Pelodiscus sinensis: one gene and its partner. Each later gene encodes a partner of the first gene's protein in a complex. Links are inferred from orthologs where the notes say so. Each region holds a gene or a part of one and is shown on either strand. Other genes may lie near its edges.

The links.
Region 2: BDP1 (region 1) and BRF2 share a complex: the UniProt entries of both Homo sapiens proteins name them as parts of the TFIIIB complex. The link is inferred for Pelodiscus sinensis from reciprocal best matches to the Homo sapiens genes BDP1 and BRF2.

What each region holds. Positions count from the first base shown.
Region 1 is NC_134716.1:81,684,442-81,699,762, forward strand, and holds the start of BDP1 (transcription factor TFIIIB component B'' homolog), read left to right. Parts: upstream 1-9,301; 5' UTR 9,302-9,532; coding exon 9,533-9,759; intron 9,760-13,192; coding exon 13,193-13,736; intron 13,737-15,321. Other genes in the region: SERF1B (small EDRK-rich factor 1), read right to left, coding at 3,768-3,876, 6,897-6,903. UniProt on the Homo sapiens protein: General activator of RNA polymerase III transcription. Requires for transcription from all three types of polymerase III promoters. Requires for transcription of genes with internal promoter elements and with promoter elements upstream of the initiation site.
Region 2 is NC_134738.1:15,023,479-15,039,020, reverse strand, and holds BRF2 (transcription factor IIIB 50 kDa subunit), read left to right. Parts: upstream 1-7,730; 5' UTR 7,731-7,736; coding exon 7,737-7,757; intron 7,758-8,594; coding exon 8,595-8,757; intron 8,758-11,723; coding exon 11,724-11,783; intron 11,784-12,435; coding exon 12,436-12,757; intron 12,758-12,944; coding exon 12,945-13,656; 3' UTR 13,657-14,588; downstream 14,589-15,542. UniProt on the Homo sapiens protein: General activator of RNA polymerase III transcription. Factor exclusively required for RNA polymerase III transcription of genes with promoter elements upstream of the initiation sites.

The DNA of each region.
Region 1 (15,321 bases):
GAGGATCGGGGCCAGTCTAGACGCTCTTTTCCGGCTTTTTTAAAAGCCGGAAAAAAGCGGCGGCCATGTTTATTTAAATGCCGCGGGGGATATTTAAATCCCCCGCGGATTTCCCTACGACGACTGCTGAAATTTACATGCCCCTTACGGAAGAGGGGCCAGTGTAGACGTAGCCTGTGTGCTTAGCACGTGTATTCTGCTTGTTTGGGAATTGTCAATAAATAGAGGATAAGGAGATCACTGAGGCTCTTTCAGCGGCTGCAAAACCCACAGGAAGTTGTGCCCTGAGCCCTAGGAATTGGATAAGGGTGGGTGTGTAAATTAACAGGGTTCCACCTTGAGCCCTAGGAACTGAGTAAAGGTGTGTCCCTACAGTGTGGAAGGGTTAGAGAAATTTGTGTGGGTCACACAGTGGACCAATATCTAAGCTTAAATACTCATCAGGACAATAGACTGATGGCTCTGCAGAGCATTAGCCCACATACCAAGTCTATTTGCCTGCGTTTTATACACCTCTCTCTATGGAGAGATTTCCAGAGTAACACTGAAGTTCTAGTACGATACTGCTACAGCAGAAGGTACATACTATACATGAAATCAAGGACCAACATTTAAACCCTACCTGAAGTACTTATAATTTTGAGTTTGCCAATAATTGGCAGAAAACTGATCATCAAGACCAGGCACTGTCAATAGTTTTTCCATAGAGGTCACTCCCAAGATTCTGGAGAGTGGTTGCAGGCTGTACTCTTCCAGGATATTAATGGAGGGGGATATTAGTGGGGTCTGGAATGGAGGTTGGGTGCAAAAGGAAGGTTGGGTAAACAACTGGTATGCAGGAGGGAGACTGGGGTGTGGAAGGGAGTTTGGCAAAGGAGGCAGTTGTGATCTAGGGCAGGGGACTGGAATGCAGGATTTTGGTATGTGACCTAGCTAGGAGGGCCTTTTGGGGCAGGAGATGGGGGGATAGAAGGTTTGGTTATGGGGGGGAGGAGAGCAGAGAGTTGGGGAAGGGAGAGGCTGGGGTGCCAGAGGCAGGCTATGGCTGAAGGTGGCTTGCTGCTCCACTCCAGGAATGAGGGGGAGAAGGTTTCCCACACTACCCTGCTCCCAGCAAAAGTTCTTGGTTCCTATTGTCGGGAAACAGATTGGCCAATGGCGCTAAGATTTTGCTGGGGGAGGGGAGGGGCTAGAAATAGCATGAGAAGTCTCCTTCCCTTCTCAGCCATGCAGAGCTGAGAACAGCTGGCTTTCTAAAACATGAACTGATCTAAGCGTTCTAGCAAAGGGATATGGTGGCTTGGCAGGCCACATCTGGCCCACTGGCAGCCTATTGCCCACCCTGATCAAGACCATTTAGTATGGATCTCAAAACACAATCCACATTTTATAGTCAGTTCATGTAATTGATTAAATAATCAAGCCCCAACAAATGATTTAAGGTCATAAACCCTGAATCTTGTTCTCAGTAAAATCAAGAACAAATGCTTATCTGGTTGTAACAAAAGTAAAGCATTTCTCATCTTGTTACCCTTTAAATCAAGAGGCTGTGCCTCTAATTGGACAGGATGAGCCTAATTTTACTCTGAAGATAGCGATTTGCTGGACCAGTTTCAATTTGAAGCAGCTGGTATTTAATATTGCCTGGATCTTACTTTAGTACCAATTGTATTTACTGTGATGGTTCCCAAGAGATACTCAGGGGTGGGAGGCACCTCATCACTATCCACTGTTAGCATGAAGTAATCTTGTCTTTGCCTGACATGGATCACCTCCTGAAGTCAACAGCCTCTGGCAGCAACAGGCACACACAAATGCCTGAATACCTGGGAGTGTTTCCTGTAGCATCCATCCTCTGAATGTTACAAGATTACTAGTCTCCAAGTAACACTGCACACCAGCTCATAAGATTTGATTTAGAATCACCACTTTGCTTAACACTAAGACTAACTTTGTTTCCAATACAGGCAGTCCCTGAGTTACACGGATCTTACTTGTTGGATCAGCAGTTACAAACGGGGCTTCTCTCGCCCCGGAGGACTGGAGTAGCAGGACACCTAGATGCGCCGTTATCCCGCCGCCCGTGTCCTACGGGGTGAGAAAAGCTGCTCCGCATCTTCCTGGTCTGCTTGGGGGGAGGGGGGGGCGCCCAGCAGACCAGGGAGAGGCGGAGGACCGGGGCGGCGGGACCGTGGCACGTCTCGGTCCCGCTGCCTGCGACTCCCTGGTCTGCTGGGGGGGGGGTGGCGCAGCTAGTGTCCCCCCCCCCCCCAGCAGACCAGGCTTTTCTCGGGACCCCTGTGGTAGAGCAGCTGGGGCGCTGCCAGTTGGTCCCACAGCGCTGCTTTTGGTGCTACTGGACCAACCCGGCAGCACCCCAGTTGCTCTGCCCCAGGCGTCCTGATTCAGCCACTGCTGAAACTGTCCAGCAGCTGACTACAGGAAACCCGGGGCAGAGCAACTCTGCCTCGGGCTTCCTGTAGTCAGCCGCTGGTGAGTTTCAGCAGCGGTTGAATCTGGACACCAGTTCCGACTTCCATACAGATTCAACTTATGAACAAATCTACAGTCCCTATCTTGTACGTAACCCGGGGACTGCCTGTACTCAGTCACTTTACTATAGTATCAGATATAGCTAGAGAAATTAATGAACAAAACTACATGCTTTCCAAAGAGTAAGGAAGTTAGTAGCCTTTAAAGGCTACTTTTTTCAACCAAACCCACTGGATACCCCTTTTAAATGAAGTGAAGGCTCTCTTTCTCAATGAAGGGTCCCTACTTGAGTATCCCTTCTGTCCCCTCAAATATACTCAAGCAAACCTTTGATATGCACCTCAAAGAGGTTGTCTTCCCTGTTATGCATTTCTCTTCCTGTTTTTTCCCCTTACAATCCTTCACTTGTTTTCAGTTCAGAGGAATGCTAGGGGACTCAATTCATACATGAACACATCTCATTCACAGTATCTCATGTCCACTAGATAAAACTGCTCTTCAGGCTGATATGGCTAATTGCTTGGTTAGCAGGAACAGCTGTTTGCAAACATTTTGGTGGTGCCCAGACTGAATGGGAGAGAAGTGAGGCCTCTGGACCAACTCCCCAAATCCCACCCCATGACTCACCTGAAGGCTTTGAAAGGGAGTTTGGGTGGGGTAGTGGTGTGGACTCTGGTGGGTTGATACAACAAGAGTGCAGGCTCTGGCAGAGAATGGGTGCACCACATTTAATGGGACACCCCTTCTGGCAGTTCAGGGGTGGGGGAGAGCCTTCTCACACACATGCAGGCAGCAGTCCTGATGGAACCTAGCACCAAGCCACGAACATCCCTGGTGCTGGAGAACCACACGGCCCATATAACTCGCCATCTGTTTTTAGGCAAGTACTCAAAGTCTGGTCTCATCATGTGTGCCAATTTATTTTCCAGGAATTACACTCAGTCTCAAATCAAAAAAGGAAGAAAGAATATTCAGACTGTGCAACTGAACTTCCATTTTGGCACCTCAAGTGAGTGGCTGGGGAGTTATTGCCACTTTCCATTTTAGGAAGGAGTCAAAACCAAGGATTGCAGTAGAATCCAGAAGCATTTGAGGCCTGCTCATCAACCCACGATGGATTTAAACTCTAAATACTGGAGGGGAAACCAAGTCTGAGCAAATTAAAAATATTTGCAGAAGTTCAAAATAGGCAATTTACATATTGCTTATTTTTGTAACAAAAGCTTAAAGAATCACTCATCCTTCTGATCGGTTCCCTGTGTACTAGAGCTTACCTCTGTTTTCTCTGAGAAGCAGACAAACTATCCTCTTTCCTTTTCCCCTTGAGGGTCTCCTGGTTTTTCTTCAAATTTTTCTGGCGGGCAAGTTCACGCTGATTCCCACCTACACAATATCCAAGTTTATATATGTGTTGCAATTGCCATTCCTTACCTCCACTCTAAGATTGTATACTGACAGAGTAACATAGTACTTCAAGACAAAACTCAGTAAAAATCATTATTAAAACCACTCTTCGAGGTTTCTCTCTCCAAGTTTAGATTCACAAGACAAATTCTGCAAAGCAAAACAGCAACACTTCTATGAAGCAAGGAAGTGCTAGAGCTTCCCAAATTTAACAAAGAGAATTTATATTTTCCCCTGTAGAAACACCCAAGGCTATGTCTAGACTGCCATGGTTTTCCAGAAATGCTTTTAATGGAAAAGTTTTCCATTAAAAGCATTTTTGGAAAAGAGCGTCTAGATTGGCATGGACGCTTTTCTGCAAAAAGTGCTTTTTGTGGAAAAGCATCCATGCCAATCTAGACGCTTTTCCGCAAAAAAACCCCGATCGCCATTTTCGCAATTGGGGCTTTTTTGCGGAAAACAAATGAGCTGTCTACACTGGCCCTTTCGTGCAAAAGTTTTGCGCAAAAGGACTTTTGCCTGAACAGGAGCAGCATAGTATTCCGCAAGAAGCACTGATTTTCCAGTAGGAAGTCAGTGCTTTTGCAGAAATTCAAGCTGCCAGTGTAGACAGCTGGCAAGTTTTTCTGGAAAAGTGGCTGATTTTCCGGAAAAACTGGCCAGTCTAGACACAGCCCTAAATGTTTTGTAAAAGTGTTCTTAGGCACTTCAGCTTCAGGCAGACTTGTGGCATGGAAGAGTTCTGCAATATATAAAGCAGTTCACGCTAAGTTAGAAGTAAGTTTGGAAAGTTTAGATTTTTCTCTCTCAATAAGTGTTGATTTCACTATGAAGGGACAAAAGTATGAAAATAATCCAAGTTTAGTTTAGTCCAATTATTAAAGTTTTACACATACCAGGCCAAACCTGTAAGTTCGTTACACACTGAACATTAGGGGTATATCTACATAGTAGTGTTATTTCAGAACTGATGTTATGCCACAAGACCAGTCCTCACCCACACTACAAGCAGTTGTTTCGACATAATATTGAGCTGGAGAAATTCTTACTCTGACTCCTGTAGCCTTCATTTTACAAGGAGCAAGAGAAGTTGGAGAAAGACTGCTCTCAGACTTCCTGCTATGTAGACAGCACCAAAAGCTGAAAGCTACTTCAACTTTAGTAGCTCAAGTGGTTTAGCTTATTTTGGCTTCAGTCCTGCTGTACAGATGTGCCCTATGATTGCTCAGTATAGCAGAAAAGTCTCCAGAACCACTGTGCCTTTTCAATGGCTATTTTAGGACAGTCAACAAGCAGTATACTCATGCCCATCTACATTTATAAGTACTTTTGAATTGGAGGAGATGGTACAGTACACATCCTCCATGCCTGTTTCTGGCTTCAAATTGTGCCCACTACACCACATCTCTTCATAAAGAGATTGAGAGCACCATTTAACTGGCCATAAGCCTACACAGCTTCCTTTTAAGGCTGGAGGGCATTTGTGAGAAAGTTTGCTCTTAACCCAGTTCTCTCAGAAGCTTGAATTACTACAGTGAATCCAAGCTACAGGTTTAGAAAGGGAGCTGAATATAACATCTCCCAAATTGAAATTCAAAACAGACAACTTCAAGGACAAGGACATTGTCTCAGTGACCTGATTACCTACATCCTACTTCAAAGGCCTTTTAAGACTACACTTGAAAGAATCCTCTGAACTGTCATTCATGCTTAAATTTGACACTTTACACCTAAGTTTGAATAAAGATGCTAATTATCTTACCCATTACAAAGATAGCTTCCCCAATTATCACCTCTAATATCATTAGCTCACAGACATTTACCTCCCCCTCCCTCATCCCCTTTCTGTTCTGAAATTTGATTTGTCCTTTTCATAGGTGTTCTTTTGTAATTGTATCCTTTGGTATATATGGTTGACAATTTTCTTCCACTATTTGATCTGAGGAAGAGGGTCTGGCCCACGAAAGCTCATCACCTAATAAACCATCTTGTTTAAAGTGCTACATAGTCCTGTGTTTTGTTTCAGCTACACCAGACTAACACAAGCTACATTTCTATCAACTTAAATGAAGTCACTGATAATTACTACTATAATGTGTACTCCAGTTTTCCATTAATACAGTCAAATGGCACTCCAACACCTAATTCTGAGCAATATGGCTTCCGGCAACACCTTCTAGTTGTGGCACAATTTATGTTTTCGTTTGCTTTTTCGCCAATTATTTTGCTTAATTAATGAAGACACCATCTGACAGGGATTAATTAAGCAGGGTTGCTACTAGATAGTTAGTAGCCATTTAAGGACATTCCTAGCCTGACAGCCAGCAATTAAACTTGAGTTACTAGCTTGACTGACCAGTGGCTCTCACACAGCCCTGCAAAGTCCACCCAGGAGAAAACACTGCTTTGCTCTAAACTGCCCACACCTGTCAGACTGACTTCAGGGACAGCATTGAGTGTGGGGACCCCTGTCTTCTGTAAGCTGTGCGCTTCAGAAATGTAAATGCTACCAGGCTGATTGGAGCTAGGCTTGGTTGCTAGTGGCGGTGCACGGTCACACACTTCAGGGCACATAGAAGTTGTTTTGCACATGAAGGAATAAGAATCCACAGGTGGGTGGACGAGATTTGTGGGCCCAGGCTGGGGACCCCCGTCGGGACAGGCCCCACCTTCACAGCCACTGAGGTCTCCCTCCAGGAACACTCATCTTACAGAAAGGAACAAGCGGAGTCACCAGGGAGCCAGGTCACAGTGCGACAGCCAGCGGGCCCAAGTCCGGCCCGCCGCGTTCACCCGCGCCGGTACCGTGGAGATCAAAGGGAGGCCGCCACCCCGCGGGCCCGGCCGCTCCTGCCGCTGGAGGGTGGACGGGCCCGCTATGGCGCCGAAGAAGCCTGCAGGGCTTAGCGGGGAGAAGAGGCGCCTCGTGACGGGCCCGCCCCAGAGCCGGTGGGCCCCGCTCTCACAGCCATCCGCGGGGCCGGCAGGCCGATACTTACGGGCCATCTCGAGGCAAGATCCCGGCCACGGCGCACGGAAAAGAACCTCAACCACTTCACCCAGGCACTGCGACTGCCAGAACCTTCTTCCGCCGCCCCCTCAGCACCTTATATAGGGAAACGTCTCTAGGCGTCACAAATATGCAGACGTCACCATACCGCCTCCTCATCCCCAAGCTTTAGATAGGAGCCACCGAGCGGTGGGAGAGTCGCCAACAATGCGCATGCGCAACCAGCTGTGTGTACAGCCTGCTGCTGCTTTGAGAGGCTAGGCTGGGCTTCAGTGAGTCTGTTGTGCTGCGGTTGTGGACATGCGCATTCAAACGATAGTCAGGGTGTGTCCGAGTCTCCTTCTTGTGGTTTCGAACGTTTTCCTCCGAATTCCGGAAGATTTTTTAAATGGTTTTTAAATCTCGGCTTGACAAAGCCCTGGCAGGGATGATTTAGTTGGGATTGGTCCTGCTTTGGACACAGAATTAGACTCATGCATACCTCCCCAGCAACACAGAAACATCCCAGTCCCTGTTCAGATAACAAGGGCAAATGTATTATAAGGAGAACATACAAACTTATCTGTTTACATCATAGTATCATATTGACTTCTTTTTCATTATGGCTATTTTTCACTCTATTTTAAAATCTGAACAATTTTTCAAAACATTTTTTAAACTAACTTGGGCAGTTTTCCTCTGTTCCATTTTTTTCTTTTCTTTTTACAGAGTTTAGAACATAACCATACTGGGTCAGACCAAAGGTCCATCTAGCCCAGGATCCTGTCTGCTTCTGCTGACAGTGGCCAATACCAGATGCCCCAGAGAAACAGAGGCTAGGGATACCATTCCTACCCATCCTGGCTAATAGCCATTTATGGACCTAACCTTCATGAATCTATCTAGCTCTTTTTTGAACCTCATTAAAGGTCTAGCCTTCACCGCATCCTCTGGCAAGGAGTTCCACAGGCTGACTGTGCGCTAAGTGAACAAAAACTTCTTTTTGTTTGTTTTAAACCTGCTGCCTATTAATTTCATTTGGTGACCCCTAGTTCTTTTATTGTGGGAATAAGTAACTTTTTCTTACTAACTTTTTCCATATCAGTCATGATTTTATAGATCTCTATCACATCCCCACTTAGGGTATGTCTACACTGCCACCGTAGTTTGAACAAGGGTGGCTAATGTAGGCATTCAAACTTGCAAATGAAGCCTGGGATTTAAATATCCCGGGCTTTATTTGCAAGTTCCCGGGTGCCGCCATTTTTAAATGCCCCGTAGTTCGAACTCCCTGCCCGCGGCTACACGCGGCACGGACTAGGTAGTTTGAATTAAAGCTCCTAATTGTAACTACCGTTACTTCTGCAATGAGGAGTATAATGAGAATAATTTCCTATTAACGCATGGCTCAAACAACATCCTAGGGTTTTATTTACAAAAAGCAGCAAGGAAAGAATTAGTGAGGAAATGCTTGCTTAAACTACTATTTACTTGTATAGAAGTAGTTATACCACAGGACACAAGGCCTGCATCTACACTTGGTTGTTGAAATGGACAGGCTCAAGTTAGAAACTTGGTGCTGGAATTCTCTACAAATATCTTCATGAGCTAGAGGATGAGATTTCCCAGTGAGCCAACTCACAGTTTACCTCATAGAACCAAACTCTAAACAAGCCACTGTTATTGTAGTTCTCTCTGTTAGAATTTATTATTTTAATTACGCAGCTCAGCTTTCCTTGCCATATTTCACTTCATAAGAAGGCACCATTTGGTTGCCGCTAAGGGTGGCTCACAAGAAACAGGAGCAGAAAAAAATTCTGATAAGTTACTTTACTAAGAATAAGAATTGGTTAATAAATCTGTGACATTCTCAAATATATTTACTTACAAGCTGCTTTATACCAGAAAAAAAAAAAACCCCGCAAGCACATTGTTTTGAGTGCCCAGAGCAGCCAGTAAGGAGTAAATGATGGGGAGGGGGGGGGGGGGAATGGCTCGGCTGGTCACTCCTACTGGGCTTAGGGTTAGTTCCATCTGGACTGGTAGGGGGGACAGACGGGAGACTCTCGTCCCCTGTAAAGAGCAGCTGGAGCAGGATCACCTCCAGAAATGTCCCTTGGCTGAAGGAAGCTGTGCGCCGTCTCCTTCCTGGCCCCATAGCTCCTCAGCCATGGAACGAGCTTCTCCCTCATCTACCGAACCCCTGTGCATCTGCCTCCCCCGCATACCCACTGGGATGCGAACAGGTAACCCGTTAACCTGTGCTTTATAACTCGCGATACGCAGCGCTAGCTTGTCCCTTTCGGCGCTCCGTCCTACTAGCTGTGTTCGCCACCTCCGCTGGTTACGGAAGGGGGGGAGGACGTTGTACTTGCTCGGGCTTTTGACGCGTCACGTGGCCGCGTGGTTGCCCCTTTGCCGGTCGCAGGATGATGACATTTGGATGCGCCAGGCTCTGTGCAGGGCGGGGTGCGGGAGGCTCTGCCCGGTGTGCGGCAAGGGAGATGAAGCGGCGGCGCCGGCGGAGCGAGACGTTCGGCTCTAGCGCTTTCCTGGCCGCGCGGGAGTGACCCTCGGGCTGTCACGGGCCGCGCCGAGCGCTCCTCTCCCCCCTCCCCGAGCGAGGGAACGGGGGCAGCCGGCACCATGTTCCGCCGAGCCCGGCTCAGCGTGAAGCCGAATGTGAGGCCGGGGGGCAGGGGCGGCGGCGGCCCGAGCGCCCCGTCGGCCCCGGAGCCGCAGCGCGGCCAGGATTCCGCGTCCCCGCCGGCGAGGACAGAGCCGCCGTCTAGCGCGACAGCCTCTCCCGAAGCCGCTGCCGCTCCTCGGCCGGACCCCCCGCCCCAGCCGGAGGGGGAGCAGCCCGCGGGCAGGTAAGTCCCGCAGCTCGCGCAGTCGCGCTGTGTAAGGGGGAGCCGGGAGGGCGCTGCTTGGAAATCTCACTCACTCCTATCGGCTCCCCGTGCCTGGAAAGCTCTGGGAGCTGCCTCTTTACCATCATGGGCAAGAGCCTACGTGCCCCAGCTCTCCACATTGTGCTTCACACCGCAGCTCCAGTGCTTGGAAGCTGTCAAGTGCCCAACACTTCTTCCGCGTTTGTCTCCCTTTATTGCAGGAGACCTTTTTCTTGTCTGAAGGTGGTTCCCTCATTGGCTTGGGTTTGTTGTGTTTGAAGTTGAGAAATGTATATTACTGCAGGATGAGAGGGCACTATTGGCTATGTCTAAGATTATGAAGAATGCAACGAATACCAGCTCTTGGTTTAGAAATAAATGTCTATAGCAGTGGTTCCCAATCTTTTTGATATTGGAGATCAGTAAACCCATTCACAAGCTTTTGGAGGACCAGTAACATTTATTTGCATATTTATTAAGCAAATGATGAATATGCAAATAAATTGTGTTGCTGGCCCTACTTGTCTGGAGGGTTGTTCCGCCTCTCCCCCCCGCCTCCTGGCCCCAATCCTGGCTGCTTTATCAGCCGGTGCTGGCTCCCCCAGCTGCGTCCAGTGCCGGGCATTCTGCATCACTGTACACAGCACCCGGCGGGTTGTTCCACACCCCCCTCGACCCAAATCCCGGCCGCTTTATTGGCCAGCGCTGTCTGGTGCTGGGCGTTCTGCATTGGTGTGCACAGCACCCAGCCTTTTCTCTGTGCCCTAGTGCCCGCCAGATCTAGCCCCACCACTCGGGAGCATGCCTGGCAGAGACGCCGCAGTGGCAGGCTCTCTCCCAAGAGGGCCACGCTGCTGCGCTCAGCTGCGCGGAGTGCTGTTACCCCATCACACAAATTAATAGGATCGTGCGCGATAATTTTTCTAAGGACTGGTATTCGTTTTTTAATAGGACCAGTATTCCTTTTCTAACAGTAGGACCAGTACTGGGCCGCAGACCACACTTTGGGAAATGTTAGTCTATAGGTATCTTTTGTACATATATATTATTACTTTATATCATAGTCTCCAATCTTGCAATGATAAACATCGTGTAGAAGAGCCTGAAGTAAACTGATACCTGCCTAGGTTCAGGGGTTCTCTTAGGTGGAAAACAATGCTGGATTGGGCCGCAACTTTAATATTTATGGTTGAAATTAGTACTTTGGAGTTTAGTGTTGATTTCCCAAGGGCTGAATAATTTTCTTTTTTATAAGTACAAACCTATTTCTATTAGTATATCAGTAGCCCCTAGGAAGTTATCATATCTGCTTTTCTATCACACCTTACAAACATAGAGCACTAGAAACTGTAACGATGATTAAATCTGTGACTAGATATTGCTTTTGATTTGCATGGTTCCCATTGAAATCAATGGTGGAGGTCATCAGCATACAGTGTAAGAAAAGTATACTGCTTCTAGTCGTGTAACACTGAAATTTGAGGTAGGGAGGTTAAATTTAAATTAATGGGCTAATCGAATAGTTGATGCAATTTGTGTCAGGCTCCATGCAGTGTTTCAAAGCAGTAGTGCTGACCTTGGGCTCCATGCAGCACTGCTGCTTTGAAATGCCAAATGCAGCCCGGGGCCAGCTGAAGACCTGGGCTACACACAGTCTTTCAAAGTGGCAGGCTCTGGGCTCCATGTGGCATTGCTGCTTTGAAGCACCCTTTTTCTGATAGAGGCAGCAAGGAGGGGTGGGGGAAAGAAACTAGTCGACTACTTGTTCATATCCCTAATTTGAGGAGGGGCATTAATAAACAGCAGAAAACAGTTTTATGTACCACAATTTTGGTGGCTGTTTATGAATTAGGATGAACAACGCTTTCTTGGATTTACACCTAGAGTTAAAGAAACAGTCTCGATTAAAATCACTTAGTACTTTGTCCATTTTAAAGTGTCTAAATGACTTTAGCTCAGAGTTTGAAAAATATACCTGACATTTTATGGAATTGTTTTTTATTCAGACTTGACATTCCTGATACTTTGAAAGTTAAAAATACAACCAGGGACAAACCTTCCAGGCCTCCTTTATAGATCATTCAGAAACACAAAAAGTGCACAAGTCTTAATAAAAAAAAAAATCTTTTCATTCACCACTGTTGTATAGGGATGTCAATGTGTAGATGACTACACAATTAACCAATAAGCCTGGGCTTATCAATTAATCCCGTTGACTACATGCATTTCGCCTCCCCGCATATCAGAGGCAGCAAGGTTGGGGGAGGCAGGAGCTGGTGCCTGTGAGGAGTCAGCTTTTAAGATGGCTCCCCACGAGTACCAGATTCTGTTGAGCTGCCTGCCACCCCCCATCCCTGCACTGCTGCCTCTGATAAAGGCTGCTGCTGCCCCATGCTGCTGTCTCTGGTACGGAAGCACAGGGTGGCAGGCAGGAACTTGTCTGTGCAGGGGATCATTTTTTAAACCATATCCTCTCGAAAGAAGCTCCTGCCTGCCAACCTGTGCTGCTTGCAGTGACAGGGGACTTTGTGGGTGTGGAGTCGGAGTACACTGACTCCAGCCCTGTCCCCAGGGACTATCGAATAGTCATGTAGCTATTTAATGTGATTACAGCACTATTCAATTACACACTATCTAATGTCCCTGCTGCTGTATCTTGACCAAGCAATGATCAGCAGTTGAGGCACTGGACTGGTCTGCAGAGTTAGGAAGATAACAGTGCTTTGGTTTGCACTTTGGTTTGTGTTGGGAATACTGTCTTTGCAACTTGAAGTGTTGAAAAATATAGTTTCATTTTAAATAAAAGTTTAAAATCGTACTCACCTAGGAAAGGCTGCTGACTATACTTGGTATAGATAGACAGTGAAACTTGAGTGATTTCTTGTCAGTTTCACTCAGGGTTTTAAGCATTTACATAGTGATATATTTGGGTTGCAAATACTGCAGAGGAATTTGATTAAATTAAGACTTTTTCCTGACATCTAAAATTGTAAAAACAGTTGTTACATCTGATTTTATTAAACACTTTTATACAATTTCAATTTTGGGCATTAACTATTCTCCAGTATTTTATTACACTTATAGATCACCAGGTATGGTGAGACTGAAGGTAAAGAGCATTTCATAAAAAAACGAGTCTGACTACTTAAATGTTAATCACAACTGCTATGAACTTAATACTGTTTTGAGGACTCTTATTTTTGGAAGATTGAATATTTTCTTAATGTACAAGGCAGCATTCAATGTGTTTTGGTTTGGTTAAATATGGGTTCTTGGGTAAGGTTCTCAAATAGTAATATTTTTTCTTTAGTACTGTATTTAGGCTTTAGATGTACTCCACTCAATGCCATCTTAAAAGTAGCAAAACTATGATTGTAAGGATTAGAGTAAAATATGTTTTAATTTTCTACAGAGATGAAAAGACTGGTGGTGCAAATGATGACGAAGTTAAAAAACCTGCAGATACACCCTTACAGAGAAGAAAACGAATATCCACTATGCCTAATCTGGCAAAACCCAGAGTTACACTTCCATCTGCACAACGTTCAGTATCAAAGTCTTCTCAAAAACAAATACCTCAGTCTTCTGTTAATGGTAACTCTTCACTTCAGAAGGAATCAGAAAAGACCAATGCAGAATGCTCTCCAAAGTCTCCCATGTTGCCTGAAAAGAAAACACCTGTCCCACAAGTGCCACAATTTTCTCCACTTAAAAAATCAGTGAGCCGAGAGCCAAATGTGAGTGTAAGTGCTCTAAAAAATGATGAAGTTCTCCAGAAGAACTCACTGTGCCCTCTCAAGGAGAGACCCTCCCAAGGGAGACCCACACAGGGGGAAATGCCACATACAAAACCACCTCTAACAAAAAATAAACAAAAGTGCTCAGACCGTGAAAGAATCCTCAAAGCTCAGAAGTTAAGAGAGATGCTCAAAGAAGAGCTGAAGAAAGAGAAGATGGTAAGGTCCTGCTTTTGGCACTTGGGGCAGATCAGAAACGGAAAAGGGGATCAACATTTGCCAGGTCCCTGTGGGTCAATTCCAGTATGTTCTGCTATTTTAAAGCGACTGTGATGTCAGCAGCATTGTACTGGCAACCTGTGCAGGGTGTAGTAGCTCTTATACTATCACAAGGAGTGAGTGTTCTTTGGTATAAAATTGATAATTTTTTTTAAGATGGTGATGGGGCGGTTCTATTAGTGGACCTTCATCTGAAGACCCCAGCTAACATGTCAGTCAGAATGCTGATTTGTTTTTACTATATACTTTTATAATTAGTAATCACAGCAGATGGGATGAGGACTTGGCTTTTTTGTTATGTAGTCAACTTCGTTGACTCAGTTCTGTTACCTTGGACAGCTCACTTCACTTCTATTGTTCTATTAGCTCAACTGTAAAATGGTGAATGTTGGTTATTTTTTGAGGATGTTAACATTTAATAACTATTCAACCTCATGAGAGTCTAATGAAAACAGAGTAGAGCAGCACAATGTAAGATTTGTATGTTTCAATAAAGAAGACAAATATAAGAAGGGGACAAAAGGCAGCAGTTTTCCTTTAGGTGGCTAAATCAACTTGAAAATTAATTTTTAAAAAAATGGTTTCATATACTATAACAAGTCCTTATTCTCACTGCCAACAACAATAATTGAAAAAAGCCACACACAATAGCAGGTCAGGAGCATTCATAGTTATCTAAAAGTGCTTTTAACTATTTTTTAACTAACAGTTCATTTTTAGAAGTTGAATCTATCATTTATATGAGAACTCAGCAGCTGCAATCCTGTGGAAATACAGGCAGTCCCCGGGTTACGTACAAGATAGAGACCGTAGGTTTGTTCTTAAGTTGAATTTGTATGTAAGTCGGAACTGGCGTCCAGATTCAGCCACTGTTGAAACTGACCAGCAGCAGCTGAATCGGACACGCCTGGGGCAGAGCAGCTGGGGTGCTGCTGGGTTGGTCCTGCAGCGCCACTCCTCGGCGCTACTGGACCAACCCAGCAGCACCCCAGCTGCTCTGCCCCAGGTGCTCCCAAGTCAGCCACTGCTGGTCAGTTTCAACAGCAGCTGACTTAGGGACGCCTGGGGCAGAGCAGCTGGGGTGCTGCTGGGTTGGTCCAGTAGTGCCACAGCTCGGCGCTGTGGGACCAACCCGGCAGCCCCCCAGCTGCTCTACCCCAGGCGTCGGCGAGAAAAGCCTGGTCTGCTGGGGGGGAGGGGGCGCACTAGCTGCGCCCTCCCCAGCAGACCAGGGAGACGCGGAGCGACTTTTCTCACCGCGGAGGATGCGGGCGGCGGGATTGCGGCGCATCTCGGCGGTCCCGCCGCCCGCGTACTCTGCGGTGAGAAAAGTCACTCCGCATCTCCCTGGTCTACTGGGGGGGCGCTAGCTCTGCGTCTCCCTGGTCTGCTGGGGGGAAGCGCTCCCCGCGCCGCCAGAGGCGGCGACAGTGGGGGAGGCACCCCGCACTAGCTGTGCCCCCCCCGTTCGTAATTAGGAGTCCGACTTAAGTCGAACTGACGTAACCCGGGGACTGCCTGTATG
Region 2 (15,542 bases), on another chromosome or scaffold:
CAATCATTTTAGAAGGCTTACTCCAAATCATTCTTTTAGGATAGCGATGATAAGAATCTTCAGGAAAATTCAGCACTTTGATGGAAAGTTGTGATTTGTATTCAACATTAATTTGTATCCACACTTAATGTTGGGACTGAATCTTTTTTTTTTTTTTTTTTTTTTGGTGGCAAGCGCTCAATTTTAACATCTGTGTCACAGCTCTCAAATTGGCTTCTTGAAGGCAGAGAGGGTTAGTGATACAATATTACTTTTGATAATCTGTTTTAAGATCCAACATGTATTGTGAAACAATAAAAACAACAACTCTACCCTTCATCCAGGTGAAAGGTTCCATTAAGTCTTCCCCAAAGTTGAGTGATGATTCACCCATAGTTTAGGAGGGCACAGTTTCACAGTATTCCTTACATTAGAGCACTTTAATGACAGGTGAGACTAGTTGAATTTCCTGTTAAGACTTTTATTAGTCTAACATTCAATAGTTTCACAAAATGCTGGAGACTACTGTACATTTTTCTCAGATGCTGTATTTTGTAGTAAAACCTAATTTATTTTAATAAAAGAAATGTATGTTTACTGGAATCAGTATGAATGAATATATATGCTGTTCTGTGTATTTGTAAAGACTGACTTGTGATTATAAAAGTTCTGTATAAGTAAGGCTTAACTTCCCTATCATACAAGGTTCCTTCAAGGAAAACCATAAATGAAATAACTCTTAATACTATGAATGAAAGATTTAAGGTTTGTAATGTTCCTTTTAGGGCCTCGGGTACTTAGTCGTAGTAATGAGTGTTTGAGCAGATGACTTCAGGTCAGGGGTAAGTTTCCCTATCCCAGACAATATGCATGCAACTAGCTATCTTCCACTGAAAATGACAGCTGCTTGTGCCTTGAAATAGTGTGGAAGAAGAAACATCAGTTTCAATTGCCTCTATGCTACTGAATTGTAGCTGTATCTCACTTTACAAAACTGCCTTCAGGACTTGATTCCATAGCTTGCCAACTGTATGAGAGCTGTGGAGATCTCTATTCTTTGGTGCCTTTTGAGCAGTAGCTAAACATTCTGAATTTGAAACTGGTGTTATCATAGTGGTTGGACTTGCTTTATATTCTAAACTAATGTGAACTAATCCAATGAGCTGAAGTGATTTTTTTTAAACAGTTGTACTCCTGTTGTGGTATTAAGGTACACCTCCAGCAGCTGCAGCCATTGTTAGTAATATTGCACCTGCTGCTTTAGGGAAAAATACTTCACAAAGATGTTTATCATTAACCAAATACATTCTTATCTTGAGAGAGCTTTAACCCTATGGTTTTAATATTTGCTGATAACATTCCACTTACAGTTCTGATGTTCTGCTTCCAAAATGGGACCATAGAATTTTATTGGGGTCTTTTATACCAGTTGTAGCTTGGAGTCTGTCGGCCAGAAGGTTATTTGGTTGCTCTTACACACTGAGGCTTGATCTCTTGGTTGCAATCTGGTATCTCTCGTTTACTGATGAGATTTGGGCACTGCCAGGAGAGAGAGTGGTCCTTTGCAGGCCATTCTGCTACTTGATTAGCTGTAGAAAAAGTTGCACAATCTTATTGTACCTTGAAATGTTCATTGGCAATGTTGTTTGAAGGGTTTTAGTATACAAAGACTGGACATTTTATTGAGCCAAGGTATTTAATATGAATACTCATAAGATTATAAAGCTTTTTTCCCCCCAAACACCTGTACAGTTCCTTATTGAATGTTTAATATTGAAAGATCCAAATGTATTTTTATGTTTATATTTTCTGCTTTGTTAGTTTGGGTACTTCTTGGTTTTAAAACTGACATTCTCTTTTATGGAACACTAAAATAAAAACTTTTAATTCAGTGTTTGAACACTCTTGGTTTTTTCACTGGATTCTGAAAGTGCTAGAAAATGCACAAGGTAGAATGGAGAGACCTCAATGTAATGGACAAATTGCTAATGCATATAGTTTGGTGAACTGTTCTGCAGTGGCCCTGCAGAGTGGAATAAATCTTTTCCATCATAGAGAAAATTGCATTAGCTATAATCTCAGTAGTTCCTAAAGCTTGCATGGTGAAATCATTTTATGCCATACATGATTGCTTACAGTGTACCCGAGCCTCCTATGGTTAAGGCTCAACGGCTGAAGTGAGAGAAGCTGGGAATATAGGTAACTTAATGTCAAAGGATAAAACAAGGAGGTGAAACTGGCTTACCATTAAAGACAAATGTTGTTTGTGTGCTACGAAAAGAAGATGTTTAAAATGTAATGTAGTATCTCCAGGCAATTCCGATTCACAGACATATGGTCCTCAAATTTTGGCAGCCAGTTCATATTTTCTGCGTGTTCAGACAGTGAGTCTCTGCTTGGCAAAATACCCGCACTTGATAGTTGTCAGCAGAGGATGCTTGATATAGTGATGGGACACTATCTTTCCTTTCCAGCTGAAGTAAGTTAAATTGGTAAAAAAAGCTGGGCTGATGTTCAAGAGAGAAATCCACTTCGGAACAAGTGCAATGCAGCTGGGGCAGGGCAAACTTCTTGTGCTCTGTTCTGGCCCTGTGCCCCAGTTCGCCACTCTAGAGCTGAGAAGGCAGTTACATCTTCAAGGCATTTTCAGTGATTGATTCTGCCAACTAAGTCTAGCCATGATGTTTTTCATGTGTATGTCTCTTTATTGGGAATTACACAGGATGCTAACTCTACAGAAGCCAAGAGAAACAATGTTAGGTTATAGTAACTGGGGCTCGATATGCACAAACTACAAGTATAGCCATTACCCTGTCCTCTGAGCCAGCTAGACACTGACTGCAAGTTGAGGCTCTCTTGTCTGGCAACATCTCTGGTTGGCATGATTTTAGTTCGCTGGATGTCCACTTACCATGTGTGTGGCCAAGTTTCCCTACGGTTCCATAAAGTTAATTTACAGCCACCAGTCCTGGCTCTCAATGTTCTGTGCTGTTCAGCTCTAATTTACCCCCTCAATGTCTTGTAAGAGCCCAGCAAGCAGTGGCCATGTTGGTGATGCTGCTAGACTGGGGCGGCCAACCTGAGGCGAGGCTTGCGAAGAAAAAAATTGCAGCTCCTGAGGAAGGGGAGGAGAGGGGGATTGGGTTGGGGGGAGGGTGTGCCTAGCTTTGGGGAAGGGGAGGGGGTGTAGGGTAGAGCGGGGGGGGGTGGCCTGGCTCTGGGGAACGGGATGGGGACTGGGTTAGAGCATGCTTCTTTTCCTCTCCCCTAAACAGCTGGCATGCTTCCTGAAATGCCGGGTCTGTCACACCACTGGGGCCTTTTCTCCCTGCTGCCTGTACGGTGTGTGTCGTCCCCCCCCCCCCCCCCCCCCCGCTCAACAACTTGGTTCTTCATGCTATCTCCACTGCTATTGTGGCTCTTCATCTGGAATGGGTTGGCCACCACTGTGCTAGACAATACTGACCTCCTGCGGTTTGGCAAATTCTCTGGTTTGGCACCAGTCTGGCCCTGAGAGTGCCAGACTAAAGAGGTTCAACCTGGACAATGCAACTTGATGATTTTCCTGTTTATTATTTGTATACCTGATTCGAGGGTGGAGGGGGACAGTTGAAAGACGTAGTGCATTGTGATTCATAGGTTCCCGGTACATTGAGCTTTTCAGGTAGGCAGAAAGTGAGTAGAAAAGACTGCTTACTGCCTGTTCCTCTCCTACTTTGGCTTTGCCTTAGAGTGGGGATACTCAACTTTGGAAGCCCCAAGAGCCACAGTGATGCAGCACATGCTGAGGGCTGCAACGTAAGTGTTGTTGCCTATATCTATCTATCTATATATAGCTTTTCGCACAATGCCCCGGCACTCCCCACACCTCCTCCCTGGGGCTAGAAACACTGACACCCTGTTACCCGTCAGTTCCAGCCAGCCCGTCCTCTTGTATCTTTCAAATGCTCACCCCTCCTGGGAAATGCCTCGCTGTTGTGGAGCATGTTCCCAGTGGAGGCCATGTTCAATGGATCCCACCTGCGGGCCGTGGATTGAGCCCCATGTAAACCCAAACTGCACTGTGGGCCATAAACGGGCGGTATGCAACCCAGGGGCGGCATGTCGAGTAGTCCTGCCCTAGAGGGATGGGAACTGTCACTATCTGCACTGAGTCCATGGTCAACACCCTTTCTACACTGGTTGTCATGCAGTGCTTTGGGCAGTAACTTTCAGATATTTCTCTGTCTCATAGATAGGCTCTGTCGACTTATGCTGCTGAACCATGGGCTGGGAAGCCTGAACAACAAGTTCAGCAGCATATGAAGACTGTGCCTATTTATGCGCTAGAGAGTTACTGCTCAAAGCATTCCATTAGAACCAGTTTCGTAAGGGTGTCAGTCCTTCAGGAGCACTTTAACTGCATTGACCTTTAAATCCTCTTCACTCTTTGGTCAGTGTATCTGGGCAGCAAGAACAAGGTGGGAGAACAATCAGTTTTCCTTTGTCTCAGTCAGATCACTTTGGCCCGATGTATTTGCCTTGTAAGGAGAACTTGCATCCCACCATAATAGCCTCCTTAATATTTCTCTCAACCTCTACTCCCAGGCATTGTTTCCTTCAAGCCATGGATCAAACTAGCTATTAAGGTCCTCTTGCAGTCAGACTGAATGGTTCTCTCTTCTGCCAGGGCCATCAGCAGTAATGCACTAGGAAACCTCGAAGCCAGCACTGAATAGAAATTAACTGATACTTTCAAGCATTTCAACCTTGTGTAGCTCTAATGAGGTATTGTAGTGACTTGGAAGAAAGCTACTCAAATGGCCACTCTCTTGCAGCAGCTGCTTTCACCTGGACTTTGCTGGAGGAGGTAAATCAGAGCTGTCTACATCCTGGGAAGCAGGGTTTGTGGTTTTACTTTCACATGAATTCTCTGTGGCGTAGTGGGGGGCTGTCTGCTCTGTAACCCTGGGGTCTCCCTGTGCTGTGATATGTGATTCCCACTGACTCACCCACATGTGTGTTAACCCAGGCACCTAGGCTCAGCTTGAGGAGATAACGGGATTCCCAGGGGGAGAGAGACAGGGAGAGAGGCGGAGACCAACACCAGGTTTCGGGGGAAGGCAGTTGCTGGCTGCAAAACATGAAGGAAGCAGCCTTAGCTGAGGGTCTTGTGATGATAATGGACCTCCTAATCCAAGGGGTGTGAGGCCTCCTGGTCCTGCCTCCTGAAACAGCATCCCGTCTATGCTGGGCTGTATCCTGGAGGCGCAATAAACCCTTTCTATACGGCTGGTTGGCAGAGTCTCATCTTGCTGCAGACGGGGTGCAGGATCAGGGGGTACTTGATGTGCCACTATATTATTTTACTGTCAGATCACTGCTGATTTGCACTCCATCACTGCTCCGGCTCGAGCAGGAACGCCTTGAATCAACTGTGCAAGGCTCTTCAAGCTCTAGGACAGGGGTGTCCAAACTTTTTTCAAAGGGGGCCAGATTTGAAGAAGTGAACATGCGTGAGGGCCGTCCCCGCACTCTCAGCCCCAAGGCGGAGGGCCCGCAGGGTTGGAGGCGGGCGGAGAGCGCAGGGCACGCCGGCCTCACGGCAGCCCGGGGGCAGGGCGAACCCGCAGCCGAGTGGGGGAGCGGGGCTGCGGATGTGCCCTACAGGGCAGGCTTTAGGACCGCGGAGGCCATGGGCGGCGGCGGTGGCGGCGCGGCTGGAAGCGGCGCGCTGGGCGCGCCAGTTCAAAAGAGCGCCAGGAGAGGGGGAGGAAGCGGGGGCCGTATTAAATCGGAACACGGGCCGCAATTGGCCCGCGGGCCGGACTTTGGACATGCCTGCTCTAGGAGATAGGGTTGCCAGGTGTCCAGTATTTGGCTCAACAACTTTGGTTCCCCCCCCCCCCCCCCTGCTTTTTTTCCCTCAACCAATTTTTTTCCTCACCATGTTCAGTATTTTTTGTGAAACTATCTGGCAACCCTACTAGGAGAGACGGGGAGGAACAGGGTTGGAGCACGAATCAGCGGATTTGTGACACTCCAAAAGTGCTGAGGGCAAGGAGTAGAAGTGCAGGGCCCTAGTGTGCAAGAGGCCCATAGAGGAAGGGGGCAGAGAGGGGGTGCGCAGCTCACAGGCTGACCACCACTAGTCCTGGCGCTCACTGAGGTGGAGGGCTGTTCGTGCAGCCCACTCACTGTTCTTGGTTGCCCTTCACTGGCTTACAGCATGAGCCAGGTCATGGCTTTTGGGTTCTCTGCCTGGGACCTGAGTCAGGCCCTTTGTGTGTTCCCTGTCTCCCATTCTGCTAATGCCCGGACTCAAGCACAGTTCAGTTGCTCCCTAAGGTGTGGCAGCTGTAAATGCAAAGCGAGCGTGCCATCTGCTGGTCGACCCTCCATGTAGCAGACAGCCAACCCATGCCCTCTCAAGATGGGAATAGTGTCTAGACTGTTGAAATTAGAGAAGTATCCGGGGGGGAGGGGTTGCAGGAATTGCTAAAGGATTAACAGGGTACAGGAGCTGCCCTAGATGAACTGCTGGCAACTGGCGCTCTAGGCGAACCACACGATTGGTGTGCGGTCGGTGTCCGTCCCCCCCCCCCAAACCCTTCAACGGCCATTTATCTTGGTGTCCTAGGCGACGGCCTAGTTTGCCTGTATTGACGGGTGCCACGGAAGGGGTAATTAAATGTCAACTACTTGTAAGAGGCGGTATGAGCTTTCATGGGCACAGCCGCTCATGATACCATCTCCATGTGTTGGAGCTCCAGGGGGTAGCCGAGTTAGTCTGTTACAGGAAAACGACAACCAATAGTCCGGTAGCACTTTATAGACTAACAAAACATGCAGATGGTGTCATGAGCGTGCGTGGGCACCGCCCACTTCTTCAGATGACCCGAGTTAGTCTGTTACGGAAAAAAACAACACACGGTCCGGTAGCACTTCATAGAGTAACATGGTCTGTGCGTCTAGAAAGCGCTCCCAGCCCCACTGCTGTTTTCTGTGCAGCTCACTGGCTACCCCCTGCGGCTACCTCTAAGAGGTTTGCCTTCCAGGAGCCAGAAGCTGCAGGGGACCGTGGGTCACAAAGGAAAAGCTGGGATGGGGGGAAATCAGGGGAAAGGTATTTTTAGAGTCGCTTCCCCCTCTCTGCCCATCCCTGGGCTAGCCCGGTCCGGGGGGGCGCCCCAGGCAAAGCCCCGAGCAGGGGCCGGGCGCTGCCCCCCAGAGGTGGCTGCATTGCAGCTGCGGTCACTGCCGCGGAGGAGGAGGAGGGGGGGGGGGCACTGGCACCGCCGCCGGCCGCTTCCCTGCAGCGCCCCCTGGGGCCCGCGCGGCGCGCTGGCGGGCGGAACGCGGGTGGCGGGGGAGCGGCCTCCGCTCGGACGCCGCGGCGCGACGGACCGGAAGTGACGGCGGCGGCCGGGCTCTCCCCGCGGGCAGGTGCAGCGCTCTAGAGCCCCCCCCCGCGCGCCGTGCGCCCGCTCGACTTCCGCTGGGCGAGGTGAGCACGGAGGGGGGGCAGGGCACGCGCCGGGGGGGGCCCGTGGTACCCCCCCATTGTAATGCTAAATCCCCACATGCCCCCCCCGGGACCCCCCAGGCTCCAGTCACCCCGGGGGGGGGGCAGCAGGGAGGCGAGGGGCGGGGCTGGGAGCAGACGGGCACGGCCCCCCCCCCCCCCGTACTCAGCAGATGGGGCCTGGCTGCTCCTCCCCTCCTGGTCCTGCTGATGCGGGGGGGGGGGGGGGGGGGCTCGGCCCAGGCAGCAGCCAATGGCGGGTCCGGTGCGGCGGGTGAGCCCAAGGCGGGGGCAGGCGCCGGTTGGTACCTGGGTGGGGGAGGATCCCGGTTAATCCGTTAAACGCTCGGGCTGTGTCTGCACTGGCGCCACCTTGCGCCAAACCGGCCGCTTTTGCGCCAAAACTTGCCGCCCGTCTACACGGTCCGCGGGTTCTTGCGCAATTAAACTGACGTTCTAATGTATGAAATCAGGGCTTCTTGCACCACAACTCCGATGCTCCCGCTCGGGGATAATCCCTCTCGCGCAACTGTTCTTGCACCAGAGGCCAGTGCAGACAGGCAACATGCGCAAGAAACTTAAGAAAGCCCTACAGTTAAAATGGCCATGGGAGCTTTCTTGCGCAAGAGAGTGTCTACCCTGGCAAGGATGCTCTTGCGCAAAAGCACGTGCCAGTGTAGACGTTCTCTTCTGGAAAAGTTTTTGCACAAGAACTCTTCCACAAAAGAGTTCTTGCGCAAGATCATGCCAGTGTAGACGTAGCCTACATTTAACTGGTTAACTGATTAAGCATGGAATCCCAGCGGAGGATCACTCCTGTCTGCGCGGGATGGGATGGGAGCAGGCTGCTAGCTCCTGACCCCTGCACGGGCTGTTCCTCAGTGCCAATTAACCAGTTACCTGTTCACATCCCTAGTATGTGTGGGAGGGGACCTGTGTTACAAATCTGTACCGGGCCTATAAATATTATGCTTGGTCTGATGCAGTTTAAACCTGATTTTTTAAAAAAACAATTTGTATGGAAAACTTGAAGCCACATGACAAGTTTGAATGAAATGGCTGGGCTTGTACAAAGGAAGAGTTTTGTATCTGGCCCAATTCATATTTGCAGGTTCTCAAGATGTCGGGCCCGAGAAAATGCCCTGATTGTGGCTCCTCTGACATCGTGGACGATGCGCATTATGCTCAGAACCAACTGGTGTGCGCTGACTGCGGGTTTGTTCTCACCGAGGGGCTCTTGACAACCACTTTCCAAGATGAAGAGCATTTACAAGGTCAAATGAAAATTCATTTTAGTTTATAGAAGCATGTCAGAATTTGCAGGATTTATGTTGTCGTGAGGATGTGGAGATAGAGATTTTAAAAAACTCCAAACCTACAGCTCTGAGTAATGGGTATTATTTTAATCAAAAGTCTTTTTTGCCCTAAAAACGGTGTGCAGAAAAAAGAGTAGGAGAGAAACTACTGCTTTAAACTTTACAAGGCAACAAGAACAGCAGTCCTGGACAGATGACTCTTAACCCATGATTCTTACCCCAAATCAGCAAGATTGCAAATTTGACTCCCTTTCCCCCAGCTGTATTACAGACAACTAGTCTTGGGGTGGGCAGTAATTTTTGATGGGGGGGCATTCCATGATTTAGGTAAATAGTCAAGGGCCATGCTTTTCTGTGGAGGGGTGTGGGATCTGGGATGGAGGTTGGGTGCAGAAGGAAACTCCGGATTGGAGGGTGGGGTCTGAGAGGGAGTTTAAGTGAAGGAGGAGGTTGTGAGTTGGGGTAGGGATTTGGCATGCAGAGCCCAGGAGGGGTGGGGGTGCAGGAGTAGATTTTGACTTGGGGGGAGGCGTGTAGGAGGATGGTGCAGGGTTTTGGAGGGAGTTGTGACCTGGGGGAGGAGGGATGCAGAGGGTTTGGGTGGTGATATGGGACACAGGATTGGGGATCAGCAGGGAATGGGGTGCCAAAGGTAGGCTCCCTGGACTGTGCTTACCTTAGGCAGCTCCCAGCCAGCAGCCCAACAGGGGCCTGAAGACAGGCTCCCTGCCTGCTGCAGCCCCAGGCTACTCAAAACAACTGGAGGCTTCCTCCATGTGACGCCCTGTGCTTCGTGCTCCTGGGCTAGGTCTGCACTAGCATGATTTTCCGGAAATGTTTTTAACGGAAAAGTTTTCCGTTAAAAGCATTTTTGGTAAAGTGCGTCTAGATTGGCAGGATGCTTTTCCGGAAAAGTACTTTTCCCGGAAAAGCGTCCGTGACCAATCTAGACACGCTTTTCCACAAAAAAGCCCCGATCGTCATTTTCGCGATTGGGGCTTTTTTGCGGAAAACAGTACTGTGCTGTCTACACTGGCCCTTTTCTGGAACAGTTTTCCGGAAAAAGACTTTTGCCCAAACGGGAGCAGCATAGTTTTTCCGGAAAAGCACTGATGATTTTACATTAGATCGTCAGTGCTTTTCCGGAAATTCAAGTGGCCAGTGTAGACTGCTGGTAAGTTTTTCCGGAAAAGTGGCTGATTTTCCGGAGTAACTTGCCAGTGTAGCCACAGCCCCTGTGTATGGTGGGGGGGACACTTTGTGCAGTGCCCCTTCCTCCAGGCCAATCATCACAGCTCTCATTGGCAGCGTAAAAAGTCCCCCCTCTCCTCTTCTCCCCGCCCCCCTCCATTGGGCATGCCTTAAGGGAGCCGCCAACCGTTTTGAGCAAGCTAGAGCCTGCCTTGGGGTCTCAGTGACCTGTGGGCCAGATCAAAAGGCTTGGTGAGCCGGATTCAGCCCACGAGCTGTATCTTGCCATCCCTGCACTAGTCCTGCTTAGGGGAGCTCCTGCAAGCTTCTCTTGCGTCTCTAGTCCTGGTTTTAACTTGTGCTTCCCCAGCCTACAGGGACATTGCTTTGGCTGTCTGCTGTAACATTCTGCTCCTGTTTGTGTGAAAATGCCAAAATATAAAATTGTGACTTTTTTGAAAATGGACTCACTCCATCACCTTTCGAAGGAAAATAATCCTGACATAGCAGCCATGAAACCTGCCCTTGAGTCGTATGAGACACAAGCAGGTTAAAAAATCATTCATTAAAAAACAAACGTTCTTGCCTTTTGTTGCAAATAGAATCCTGGATACTATGGGTTTGTTTAGCTGAAAATGAAAATACACCGATCAGTTTCATTTTCTGACACTCATGCTGCAGTGAATACTGTGATGTTTGTATTACATCAACTGCAGATTTTTCTTACATAAGAACGGCCCGATGGGGTCAGACCAAAGGTGCATCCAGCCCAGTGTCCTGTCATCTGACAGTGGCCAGTGCCCGGTGCCCCAGAGGGAGTGAACAGAACTGGGAATGATCAAGTGATCCTTCCCTGTCACCCATCCCCAGCCTCTGGCAGAGGCTAAGGACACCATTCCTGTCCCTCATGACTAATAAGTATTGATGGGCCGATCTTCCATGACTTTATCTAGATCTTTTTTGAACCCTGTTAAAGTCCCGATCCTCACAACATCCTCTGTTTAAAACAGGTTTACTAGGAATCTTTAAATATGTCCTGGAAGCATTTCTATTGGGCTGTAAAGATTTTGTACAAGATTATCGTTTACAAATGTACATTTTAAAGCAAAATTATTCTGACACAAATACCCATGTTGCTTAAAGGCAAGTGGCTATCATCAGTATCATCTTGCTCTCTTTTGTTTCATAAACTTTATTTGCAGATTTCATTGTTGACTCCCTTAAAGCAGGGTTGATTGTGAGGAGGATTGTGTTTATGCTATATAGATTAACTGGATCAGATATGTACTATGTGTAGCTCTCCTTTCCCCGAGGTGAGGAATCAATGATCCACATGAGTTGTGGCAGAAGATCTCGAAGAGCTACAGTGTAGCAGGCCTCAAGCTCATTTATGAAAGAATTTCTGTAGTCACTGCAGTAGATCTATTTATATTGTAAACTGGCAGCAGCGCCCTTTGCTGGCAAGTTACAGAGAATCAAAGACTCCAACCATGAAGACTGAACACAGTTCACCCTAGAGAGTCTGTCTTTTAGTTCAGGATTGAGGCAGAAGGCCTGGGGCAAGCTTGAGAGAGTCTCCACTGTTGTCATCTGTGGTGCCTATGCTGTGAGCATAAAGAGAATTACCAGCTTTGGAAATTGAAATCTGGTGCCTGCAACTGCCCCAATCCTAGCTCTCGCCCTCCTCTCTATGCTGGAAATGACTGCCTTGCCTGGTGCTTCTTGTTTTCCAGAAGTGACGTATTCACGGAGCACTGGGCAGAATGAGCAGCTGAGCCGCTGTACGCAACGAGGTGAGAGCTTTTTTTGACTGTTCCTTTCTTGCCGCACTGAGCCGCTGGCTGGCTCAGAAGAGACACGTCTCAGACTGCGCCATCTCCTCCTCTTCCTCTTCCTCTTCCTGAAAGCCACAGGGAGCCTCTGTCTTTTCACACGCAGCTAGTTCTGAGCCCTGGGGGGACCATTGGGAAAACTTCCCCTGCTGCATGAAGAGAAATGGGCTAACGTTGCCGGGTGCAAAGTATCAGAATGAAGTTGCCCCACTGCCGTGCTGCTCCCGCCTGGCTTTGGCTGAGTGCTGTGGTACCATGGGGAGGCGCGTTCCAAGAAACGTTTTGTGCAAATGTTTAAAATCCTGTTTAATTGGCTAACCGGTTAAACCAGTTCACCGATTAACGAGGACATGGGTGGGGGCTGCTCCAGCCCCACTGCCTGTTAAGCTGGGGTGTAGCAGCCCTCATCTCCCACTGCAATCAGATGCTGCTAGCGCCCAACCAGACAGCCTCTGCCTGTGGGGTGTCCAGGCTCCCCGTGGACAGAGGCTGCTCCGGACGACCAGCATGGCCTCTGGTTGGGCCATGAGCATGGCCGTAGGCAGGGAGCTGCAGCCCATCGGTCAACCGCCTCCCTACGAATGTTAAAACGTAGCCTGGTGCTTTCCCACAGGGATCAAGCGTGTCCAGGATCTCTGCAAAGTCCTGCGTCTCCCGGCGGTGTTTGAAGACACAGCCCTGTCCTATTTCCAGCGAGCAATTAAGCACCCCTCCTTCCACTTGGTCCGCTTGGAGAAGAAGGAGATTCTGGTGGGCTGCTGTGTCTTTGTGACCTGCCGGCAGCACAACTGGCCCCTGACCATGGGCACGATCTGCTCCCTGCTCTACGCAGACAAGGAGCTGTTTGCCAGCGTCTACCTAGCTGTCCTGAAAGAGCTGGAACTGGACGTGCCAGCCCTGAGTCTGATGGATCTGGTGAAAACGCACCTCAACAGGTAATGTGACCCCTGGGGGGTGTTAAGGTGTTTCTTTGGGTAAAATGGACAGTGTGTTTGGTAGGCTCCTGGTCATTCCGGACATCACCCCTCCCCTTGCAGCAGATGGACTTACTGATCTGACGGCTTCCTGCTCGCCAGTCCCCAGTGCCGCATGATAGCTAACGGTCTCTCTTTGCTCTCTCAGTTTCAAGCTGTTCCAGAGTTCAGCCAGCATCCCTGCCAGATTTGCCGAGGACAAGGACAAGATGGTTGCCCGGACAATCCAGATTGTGGAGCTGGCCAGCGAGACCTGGCTGGTGACCGGCCGGCATCCCATTCCCATCGTCACGGCTGCTGCCTACCTGGCGTGGCAGTCGCTGCAGCCCGCGGGGCGCCTCAGCTGCCCCTTCCCTCGCTTCTGCAAGCTGGCAGGCACCGACCTCCCACCGCCGGCCCACCTGAGGCTGAAGGAGCTGAACGACATCCTGCTGAGAATGGCCTCCCAGCTGGCCTGGCTGCGTGTGCTCCAGGTGGACAAAAAGACTGTGGTCAAGCACATCGGGGACCTGCTCCAGCACCGGCACTTCCTGGTGAAAAGCTCCTTTAGCTCGGGAGACGCTGAGGCTTCCAGTGCCACCGCAGCGGGCCAGGGCTCTGAGAGTTCCCCGCGTGTGGCAGGGTGCGCTGGCCAAGCGGAGGGCTGCCCCCCGGGGGGCAAGCAGAAGAGCAGCACTGGCCAGAGGCCTTTGCTCCCACCGTGCCTTCTCAACCCCAGGAAGAGACTTCGCACAGCAGCCCCGAGTCCTGCGGAGCAGGCAATCACTGGGGATGAGGCCATTTCAGACAGCGAAATAGAGCAGTACCTGCGGAGCCAGGAGGAGATGCGGGAGTTCCGCAAGGCCCAGGCCCGGCACTGAACTGACCCTCCCCCCAAGCGCAGCCCAGCTGTCTCTGCTGGCTGACACTCTTCTCATGGGAGAAATCGGCTGTGCTGGGGGGAGGCGTTGTCGTTAAATGGCAGCGTCTCCTCGTTCTGCTGGGGCAGAAACAAGCCACCCGAATGGCTTCGTGAGCAGGACTTGCACAGGGAACCGGTTCCGGGTTAGAAATAGCCATCCTGGCTGCCAGACGCGCCGGTGGGACTTGCTCTTACCAATTCACAGTGAGTTCCTGTGTTGAAAGCCAGATGGTCTCCAGCATCGCCCGGTGCTGCCTTTACGCCTGAGTCTGCGTCTGTGCGCTCAGCCAAGGCGGCCGGAGCCTGGGTAAGTGGGTCTAGCTTGCCTGTCCGTAGAAGCATTCGGATTCCTTGCGGTTGTCTCCGGGTGGGACACTTCCAGTTTGGCAAAAGGGCTGCGGCTGCGGCTGGGGCTGATTGCTTTGCCTTTCCCAGAGTCATTTGCATGAGGCAGATCCCTGCATGGGTCAGCCAGTGCGTAGCTCAGGACGGCTCCGTGCCACCCAAGCTCTGGATGAATTCTCCTCGGCTAAGACTGGGGCTCTGCATCAGCCTGTGGCGGGGAGGAGTAACACTGGCCCAGAGCAGCCCCGGCTAGCCCCCTGTGGTGGTTGTGACGGAACAGAGCTGCCACTCTCCTTGGCTGTGACGGTTTTTCCAAAGCGCTGCCTGGTTCCCTTGCTGTGCAACACAAGCCCCGTTCCTGAGAGGCCCCCCGTGGTCGGGGTCTCGGAGCCCCTAGCGTGGGTTGGATAAGGGAGTCGACCCTGCTGCCACTGGCAGGCAGCTAGTGTTCCCCTCTGACCGTGGCCGTTCCGTTGCTTATGTGGCTGCGGGAATGTGAACCCTTTCTCGGAACGACTGTACGGTCACATTAAAGAAAAGCAATGACTTGGCTGTGCTGAGGGCTCTGTGGTGTCGGGCCGAAAGACAAGCAACCTCACTTCGCGGTAGATTTGCAAATCTTTAATATATTAAAACAAAACAAATCTGCTAGAAAATTCTGTTTATATAAAAAAATGCAACCCCCCCCCCCCCCCTTTTAAACACATTTTCTTTGGTACTTTCCCCCCTGCTCCCTCCCCCAGTATATTGCAAGAAGCTCTGTTGATATGTCATTTGCTTGTAGTGTAAACAGACAAGGTAAGTGTAATGCAAAGCGTTTCGATAATACTGTCACAGTGCAGCAAGCGTACAGCAAGGTCAGCGTCAGCGAGAGTGCAGGCTGCGGCCTCAGCGTCGGATCCCCGTTGCGTTAAGTACAACGCATGTTTAAGAAAGTAATTTTAATCATGGGAAAGTCTAACAAGGCGGCAGTACAAGCCCCCCGGGTATTTCAGCGAGTTGTGGCCTTCGGAAGGGAGGAAGAAATAGAGCGAAATCTTTAAGTGCTTTATAATCCATTAACTCCTGCAGCTCCCCACCCCACATCTGAGACACGGCATGGACGTTGACGTGGCTTGTGGCTGAATGCTAGCCCCCTGCGTGCCTTCGGGCACCTCAGTCCATAGCTAACCCTCCGGCCCCCAGGAGGTAGGTGAGCAGGGTTGCCCACTTGTACAGGTGCAGAGAGGTGGTGACTGGCCTCTAGCCAACAAGGGGAGGCTGTAGCGGAGCTGGGCTTGGCTTCCTGGCCAGCGTGTCCCACTCTTCTAACTCTCCTTTTGATTTCAAGCGGGACAAAAGCAGCCAAGTTGGGGGAGCAAGACTAAGGTCCCGGGTCTGCCTGCTGACTACTGGAGTGAGGGCGAAATGTGTTCTGGGAACTGTGCCTCTCAGCTGACCTGTGGTCAGAACGCCTCTGGAAAGGCAAACCCACGTGCTGTGAGGGGAATGTGGGCCGGA